2 linked regions of the Xenopus tropicalis genome follow. The protein of the gene in region 1 interacts with the protein of each later gene in a pairwise test. Links are inferred from orthologs where the notes say so. Each region holds a gene or a part of one and is shown in the gene's direction. Other genes may lie near its edges. The genes, in order: pex12 and pex10.

Evidence for each region.
Region 2: the proteins of pex12 (region 1) and pex10 interact in a two-hybrid assay, tested with the Homo sapiens proteins (4 studies listed by BioGRID, with this or other methods). The link is inferred for Xenopus tropicalis from reciprocal best matches to the Homo sapiens genes PEX12 and PEX10.

The regions. Positions count from the first base shown.
Region 1 is NC_030678.2:93,513,321-93,517,914, reverse strand, and holds the start of pex12 (peroxisome assembly protein 12), read left to right. Parts: upstream 1-1,687; 5' UTR 1,688-1,828; intron 1,829-1,841; exon of another isoform or gene 1,842-2,036; intron 2,037-2,564; 5' UTR 2,565-2,636; coding exon 2,637-2,762; intron 2,763-4,594. UniProt on the Homo sapiens protein: Component of a retrotranslocation channel required for peroxisome organization by mediating export of the PEX5 receptor from peroxisomes to the cytosol, thereby promoting PEX5 recycling.
Region 2 is NC_030683.2:90,521,606-90,525,429, forward strand, and holds part of pex10 (peroxisome biogenesis factor 10), read left to right. Parts: intron 1-1,921; coding exon 1,922-2,097; intron 2,098-2,822; coding exon 2,823-2,958; intron 2,959-3,541; coding exon 3,542-3,610; 3' UTR 3,611-3,824.

The DNA.
Region 1 (4,594 bases):
GACCTTCCTATCCCTCCCACCCCCCCCATTTCTCTCTCACCCAGTTACTGTCCCAGTTACTATGCTCTACTACCTCTCTACCTCAAACCCTTTTTCTATATATACCTATTTTTAACTTTGATTGTTTAAATAATACCGGACAGCACGCCACTATCAATACTTAATGTGACAACAGGTGAAAGGGACCCAGGAAGTAGCACCAGTATCGCAGGGCCGAGGAACGGCCCTTTACAAAGGGAACTCTTGAATACTGAAACAAGAGCTTAAGTTTTTCATGTACTGCTACCTGGTTAAGACTGATATCCACACAGATACTGTATAACCTGATCCTCTTTTACTGTCAGAAATGACTTTAACCTGTATGTGCTGTCATGGTTTGTTATGCTATAAAAATCAATAAAAAATTTAAATTTAACAAAATATATATATATATCTTTAAAAGATTAAAGTTACGTTAAATAAGAGAGTATATTGAATGTTTTGTACTTGCAAGTATATAATTCATTTCAATGTGTCTTTCAAAGGATTCTCCAATGACTTTGGGAGAATTCAGATAGCAAGTGTAATTTTCCTATGGAGCAGCAACACATACAGCCAGCAATTATCTCAGACCAGTACAAAAAGCAACGAATTTGAATGAAAGCAATGTTCCAATACTAATTCACATTCCTGCAGAGCAATGGCAATAACATTGGCAGTTATATATTTAATATATTTTTTAGAAGAGTGACATGACACAATAAGATGTAATTGGAGCCAGTCATGGCAAGCTACTATATTACAACATAAATAAGTGCTGGGGGGGGGGGGGGGGGGGCATGTGGAGCACAGGCTTGGCACAGGAGGCAAATCAACTAAGCCACCACCAAAGTTATTGAAGGCTTGGTGTGATCTGGCTCTGCCAGAGTGGACTTGGCACCTCCTTAATGACAACTAAGACATTTTATTTGGGAATCCTGAAGCAAACAATGCTCACTTGAGTGTAGGTGACATTAAGGGGAAGCGGACAGCAACGTAGGTGGTCATTCTAAAGTTACAATTCCAAGCAACTTGACATAAACCTTGCATTTTTTAACTGTCTGACTTAAGTGATTTTGTGTGATCTGTCAAGGCCATGGAGAAATAAAGGACTTTGATAAAAACATGGCCTTTTATTGTTTTATTTACACATTAAATCAGGCGTCATTTTGCTTTATGACAAGGAATTGTCATTATCATCTTCGTGTGATCACTTAGGCTAATTAAATCGTGGCTTATAGAAATCAAAACGTGTTCATGGATCTCCTGGAATTAACAACCTTCTATGTGTGCAGTAAATGCCTGCGATAACCATACCTCCCAACACAAGAATTCTCACGAAGCAGGCACCCTACAGCAGCCAGGCGGCTCCCTGCGCCCTGCCCATCCCTATCTCTACCGCTATTCTATTAGATAAGGCAAGCACCGATTTATTGCTTCGACTTACCGATAACGTACAGAAAAATACAGACTTGCTTAGGAACGAGAGAGATAAATGTCCGAATGAAGAGAAACCCAGGGAGAGGAGAAGGCGCTGTGCGGGTCGCTGCCCCGGAAATCTAGCACAGCTCTCACACACAGCTACTACCATCTGCGTTCCATACACCGGAAATGCGAAAGGCGTCTCAACAACCGGAATAAGATGTGATCCCTGCTGTCACTTTGCGTTCCAGGTTGTGAAATTGCGAGGTTGAGAATGCGATGTTGTGATTGGCGTTGCGGGGATTGGATTTATTAGAGGCTGATCCACGGGACGGTTTCGAACATTAAGTACTCCGGACTGAGCAGAATCTCTCATACACACAAGATGGTAATTGTTTTGGTCGGGGCACAATTCCCAGTGTTTGCTCAATAAGAGAAGGGTGCGCTGCAGGGCTCTGGAACGCATGCACGGGCACACGTGTGCACATACGATCTTTCACCTCAGTAATGCAGGTTCTTGTAGAGCACAGAGATATATGGTAGGGGCCTCCAAGCTTTGGCCCGGTTACTGCTTTATCGCCTGCCGTGGGGGACAGGTATAGATAACCTAGAACTCCTCCGCTCGGTTGTTTTGGTTTGCTCGATATTTGCTATATACCTGCCGAAGTGTGCATTAAGTTTATATATGTCAAAGTACATACATTGTATTTGTAAGCACAAAGCTTGACATACGTTATGCAGCTCCACTTGGTCTATTGTGTAAAGCAGGGATCCCCAACCTTTCTTACGCGTGAGCCACAGTCAAATGTAAAAAAGCTTGGGGAGCAACACATAAAAGTTAATGGAGGTGCCAAATAAGGGCTAAGATTGGCTATTAGGTAGCCTCTGTGCACACTATCAGCTTACAGGGGGCTTTATTTGGTAGTAAATCTTGTTTTTATTCAACCAAAACTTGCCCCCAAGTCAGCAATTCAAAAATAACTACCTGGTTTGGGAGCACTGGGTTGGTGAGCAACATGTTGCCCCCGAGCCACTGGTTGGGGATCACTGGTGTAAAGAATGCTAATTCCCTCTTTTCCCAAATGCATTGTAACTGTACATTGTGGTCTTCTTGGATTAAACAGGTACATTCTGGAAAAGGTTAAAGGTGCAGTCAGCAATAGTTTTCATATTGGCAGCGGAACTAAACCTCCATAATGGCAGAGCGGGGGGCCCATATTACCACCACTTCGCTGTCTGATGACCGGCCCAGTATTTTTGAGGTGGTGGCTCAGGAGAGTTTGATGGCAGCTGTGAGGCCTGCTTTGCACCATATTGTGAAGGTGAGTGCAGACTGGAAACACTAATCTCTATTGTTACATTGCTTTTTAACTACACATTTAAGTAAATTAAGTATTTCATATTTGTTTTGTCTGATTTTACAGCTTTGTGTTTTTCCTGCAGCTTCGTTGCTGTATAGTTGTGATTGTTTATATTGTCAATTTTCCGGCTTTATTTTTTTCTTTATATTGTTTAAAAAAATGTTTATTATGTAAACCTGCAATAGTGGATTTTTTTATCTGGCTATTCAATGCCATTTTAGCTGCCTGTAAATGGCTGTCCCACACAACCCTTTTGTGAGCCTGCTAGTAGTGTAAACTAAAGAAGAAAAGAGTCAGGAACACCTCAAATAGATTGTAAGATCTTTTTTGCACAATTTATATTGTAATTAACTGTGCAAAAAATATCTTTTATATTACTGCTAGAAAAAGTGAGGACTTCAATGTAGTTAGCAATAATGTAAAATGCATAATAAAATAATTAAATGAAAACTAGGGATGCACCATATCCAGGATTCAGTTTGGTATTCTGCCAAGATTTAACAGGAATCTTTCATAGCCTAATTTTCATTTGCAAATCCGAATTCAGATTCAGTTTGGTATTCAGCCAAATGTTTCACGAACGACTCGGGGTTTGGCTAAATACCAAAATATTGGATTCAGTGCATCCCTAGTGACAACCATATAATAAAGTTACCACCCAGTATTAATATCCTTATGGTAAGAAATGTAGAGGTTTATATGTGTAAAACCACATCTGAGTAGATAATTAAATATTAACAGAGCAAATAAAATATTTACATATTTAACACCTCATTTAACACCGTACCATTAAATCTAGGCATCAGCAGGGATATAGTCAACTTTAAATCCAGATGCCTAGCAGCATGCAGTGAATCACTATATTGTACAACATGGGGTTCATGTTAAAAAGGATAAAATTAGCATTAGGCTAGCAGTGGCATTTAAATGTGCTTTGCTTCTTTGTATAAAATGGTTCACTGAAACAAAGCTTCCGTTCAACAGAGAACACAATCAATTAATTTGCAGTCTAAAGGGGTGCCAGTACACTGAGCTTCTAATTGCATAGTCTGGAAGTCAATAGGGAATAACACTTAACTTGCCTCAGACCTTACAAATGGCTTAAAAATACAGATACATGCATAATTACAAATATTAACTAAAGTACACAGTCATGTGACAATATACAGGAGAGAGTAAAAGTATAATACAACTCTCCAGATAAGATCCCTACTTGAATATAGTAAATGTCAAGTCCCTTATTTGGGGAGTCACATTTGACAGAATACAAAAGAACAAGAATGTTTAGGTATAAAAAACAGCATTAATGCTTTAGTGGATATTTCTCCCCATCTTTTAATTCAGCTTTTTCTCAACTCATTCTAAAGTTTCTGAATTGTTTATTTAACCATTACACATTTTTTTTTACCTAATACCCTCATTCATACCTAACGCTTTTCATCTACACACTCAAACTATATTTGTGTATATATATATATATATTTGGCTTGTAGACAGGCAATCACGTCACTGAAAGAGTAGCGATGCCTGGGTGCAGTCCCAATGAATTTAGGAATAATAGCAAGTGAAGATGTCCCACACTCACAGGTCTTAGGTGAAATAAAAGGTGTTTATTCAATCCACATCTAACGTTTCAGCTGCCTCTGCAGCCTTTGAGAAACAATGGACCTTGCTCTCTGTTTTTTGAGAAAGGTGCTATAATTGTTTATCTAGAATTTTCTTAGATAAAGAAGGAAGTGCAAACACGAGTAACAAGAAGAAAGCTACACTAATTCACATATTTCTATTCGGAT
Region 2 (3,824 bases), on another chromosome or scaffold:
GGTGTGTATTGTGTGTAGCCAGCCGGCTCTGTCTGGCCCTCCCCATGTAATTGCCCTAATTGTGTGGAGCCTGGAGCTGCTCAGTTTGAAAAAAGCTCCAAGGAGGGAAGAGATGAGGATTCCCCACTACCTGAGTTGTTGCTGGCTGGAGAGGACCAGGAGCAGGACCAAGAGGAAAGCATTGCTCAGCATTCCCCAATGTCTATCAGAGCAGTCAGTTCTGGGAATGGAGTAAGGGGCACCCCAAAAGAAATTATGTCACAACCTCAGGGCCGTGAGTTCCCAGACATAGGGCAGGACCCAAAGAGCAAACAGTTGGTATCACAGGATGAGGCGTTTATTGGAGAAATGGCAAGTAGCCATCAGCAGGTTTCCATAAGCCAGTAGGTGGTAGCCAGCCTGCACTCTTGTTCCTTAGGGAATAGGGAAATACACACAGTTGGGGGGAATCTTCTTGCCGCAGCTAAGGTAGATTCCAGGGGAACACAGGGGAGGGGGTCCTGCCGTAGCTAAGGTTACACCCCAGACAAAAGGCTCCTTGGAACTCTTGGCAGCCACCTTTGGAGCCAGAAAGGGAACAGCCCCTGTCGTAAAACCAAAACAGGATTTGACTCCTTCTGCCAACCCAAAGGCAGCTTCCAGAGGGGCCAATCATAGCTAATCCCACTGTGCCTATGGGAAGCCACCTAGTGAGCATGCCCAGTTCAGTCTTTTGCATTTACTAGACAGAGCACTTCTCTCACAAGGGGTAACTATGTGTATTGTGTCACTATGGGGTCTGGCTCTGTGTGCCCTCACAATAGGGGCAATTACATGGGGAGGGCCAGACAGAGCTGGCTGGCTACACACAATACACACCTAGATGAGATTAACCTACACAATGCATTTGCTATAACAGGTAGGAGGGGGGCAGGGGGTACATTTCAGCATAAACAGAAATATCTAATAGTTTCATCCAACTTATACAGTTTGTTATGTCACAATCTCCAAGACCATAAGTGCAGCGTGCTGTCCTATGGCGAGCAAGGAATTGTGTGGCTGCTCCTTTATTTTCTATGGGAGCATGGAGCTACCTGCCTGCGCAAAGCACTTTTTAGGCAGTAGAGCTAGCTTTTCTTGCTGCTTCAGCCTCAAAAAAAAAGGGGGACATCATAAATAAATGTCTGTTTATACGAATATACGAACATATGAATTATCAGTGGGGTGTTAGGGCTCATTGAAGTCAAGTAGCAGCTTTAACACCCATCGAAAACATTAGGCTAATGCCACACGAGGCGTAGGGCTGAAATTTTCGGCAAGCGGATAAACGCTTGCCGAAAATTCATCCCTACGCCTCCTACTTGTGCCTGCACCCGAATGAATGGGATACACTCGGGTGCAGGCACATGTAGCCGATATACGCATGAAAACGCGAGACTTTGCATTCTCTCGCGTTTTCATGCGTATATCGGCTACATGTGCCTGCACCCCAGCGTATCCCATTCATTCGGGTGCAGGCACAAGTAGCAGGCGTAGGGCTGATTTTTCGGCAAGCGGTTTTCCGCTTGCCGAAAAAATCAGCCCTACGCCGCGTGTGGCATCAGCCTTAAAGAGGAACTCCACCCACAACTTAAGCTTTTTGAAAAGTAAACATAATGTCAAGCAGCTTTGAAATAAACATCGATTTAAAATATGTAGCCTTTTCATGATTTTTAATATAATAATATGGTTTGGAACAGTTAGAAAAGCCTGGCCCCATGTTCTCGTGCTGATTTGGCTGACTACTTTGAGACTCTAAAAAAGTAACAGTAATCAACTGTCCTCAGCCTGCCTCCAAACATCACAAAGCAATTCAATGTGGGTTATGTAGTAACTTTTTACAGAGCAGTTTGCACCAATCTTTTCATTTTATCCTAAAGTCTTTTATTAAATCTTTCCACAGCTTCGTGTACGGAGGTCAGTTGGAGATGATCAGCTTGTGGACAGAAGTTACACTTTTCTTGGTGCAATCTCATTGCTTCATCTCATGCTGCTGCTTTGGGTTCAGATTAACAGTTTTCAACAGAGGCAGGAGGCCCAGCAGAAATGGAAACTGCTTCGCCGTATGTCATACCAGAGGTAAGTACATTAATAAACCATATGGAAATCATAATTCTCATGTATATATTAATCTTTTTTCATCTTGGCCTGAATGTTCTTGACCTAGATCTTGCCAGGCCCTGCTCAGTAACCTCACAGGTAGATTGGTTTGTTGTAATTACATCACCAACATGGAGGGACTTTGCTTGAAATTTGGTTTTCCATTTATTCAATGCACTTTGCACATTGCCTTCATTGAATTGCTGCTCAGAGACTTGCGGCTACCTCCTTGAATAAAGCTATGCCTACGTTTGACAGCGCTGCATGCACAAGCGGTGGCCGAAGGGATGCTCGTAGTCAACTCCTAGCTTGCGCTTTATGCAAACACACAAGTTAGGAAGCAACAGAGGCCTAAACAGGACTTTGTAATAACCACCTGCCATATGGTGGAATTGGTTGATAGTGTCAGTGGGTTCACCCAACCAGACAGTGTCAGTTGTAGTCCAAAAAGGGGTAGCATACTAAGTGGCAGATTTATTATAAAATTATGATTTTGGGAAAAAAAAAACACAGTTGCGTTTAGTTGATATTATTATGAATACTTCCTTCCTTTGTTTTTCCATGATCACATGAATATTAATTGATCTGTTTCTAAAGCTAATAAATGCAAAGCCACACAAAGTAGTGATGATCACTTGGTTAATATAATGCTGAACTTTGCCATTAAAGTCTCAATTTTTTCCCACCTTTCTTTATATCCATAGAGCACCACCACACGAGAAATCATATAAGCGCCGTGCAAAGTGCACATTGTGCTTAGAAGTGCGCAGACACTGCACAGCCACACCCTGTGGCCATCTTTTCTGCTGGGAGTGCATCACGGAATGGTGTAACACCAAGGTGAGACTAGGGTGCAAGTACTATACTAGAGATGCTAGTAAAAGACAGACCACCTTAAGAGTCTAGGGGGATCATTTATCATCAGCAGGCAGTTTAACACCTGGGCAAAAACCCATACCAGTCAATCAGTGACTAGATGTTTATCAGCTGCAGGTAGTTGCAGTGTTTAAAAATGAGCCCCAGGGTCTGCACACTAAATAAATTAGGGTTACAGTAGAAAAATGCACAGTAAACAGTATTGCATTTTTGGCAGCTACTGTAAGCATGAATACGCATTGGTTTGTATACGTATTTGAAGGCATAAAATTATATCTTAATAAAGTTTAACAGTGAATTTAACAGTGAATTTGCATGCTTTTCAGCACGGTAGATGTACAACAAAAGAGTTCGTACATCTAGAAGGTACCTAATAAGCACTGCCCTCACCCACTATGGTATTTTGAATGAGCGGGGGGTACTTGGTAGTCTGTAGGTGTACTTACTGCTAAATTCTTTGGACATCCAACAGGTCATTTGCATTGCATGCAACACCCTTTAATTGAACATGTCCTGACAATCAAAATGCAACTGTTTTTTTTCTTAGACGGAATGCCCTCTCTGCCGAGAAAAATTTAGCCCGCAGAAACTCGTCTATTTACGTCACTACCGATGATATTCAGAAATCTACTTGGGCCTTAAGGTTTTTTTCAGTAAGAGGAGTCTTCCAGCACAGCACTTTGCTTTTCTTGTTTAGTAGAAACCATTTCTGTTGCTGTACAACAATTCTAAACCAAGTTAATGCCAGTCACAACTGTAACTAACACGGTCTTCCTAAAGTGTGCCATAAAGGACTACCTGAAATCTAATTGCTTGTGTAGTGAAGCCAA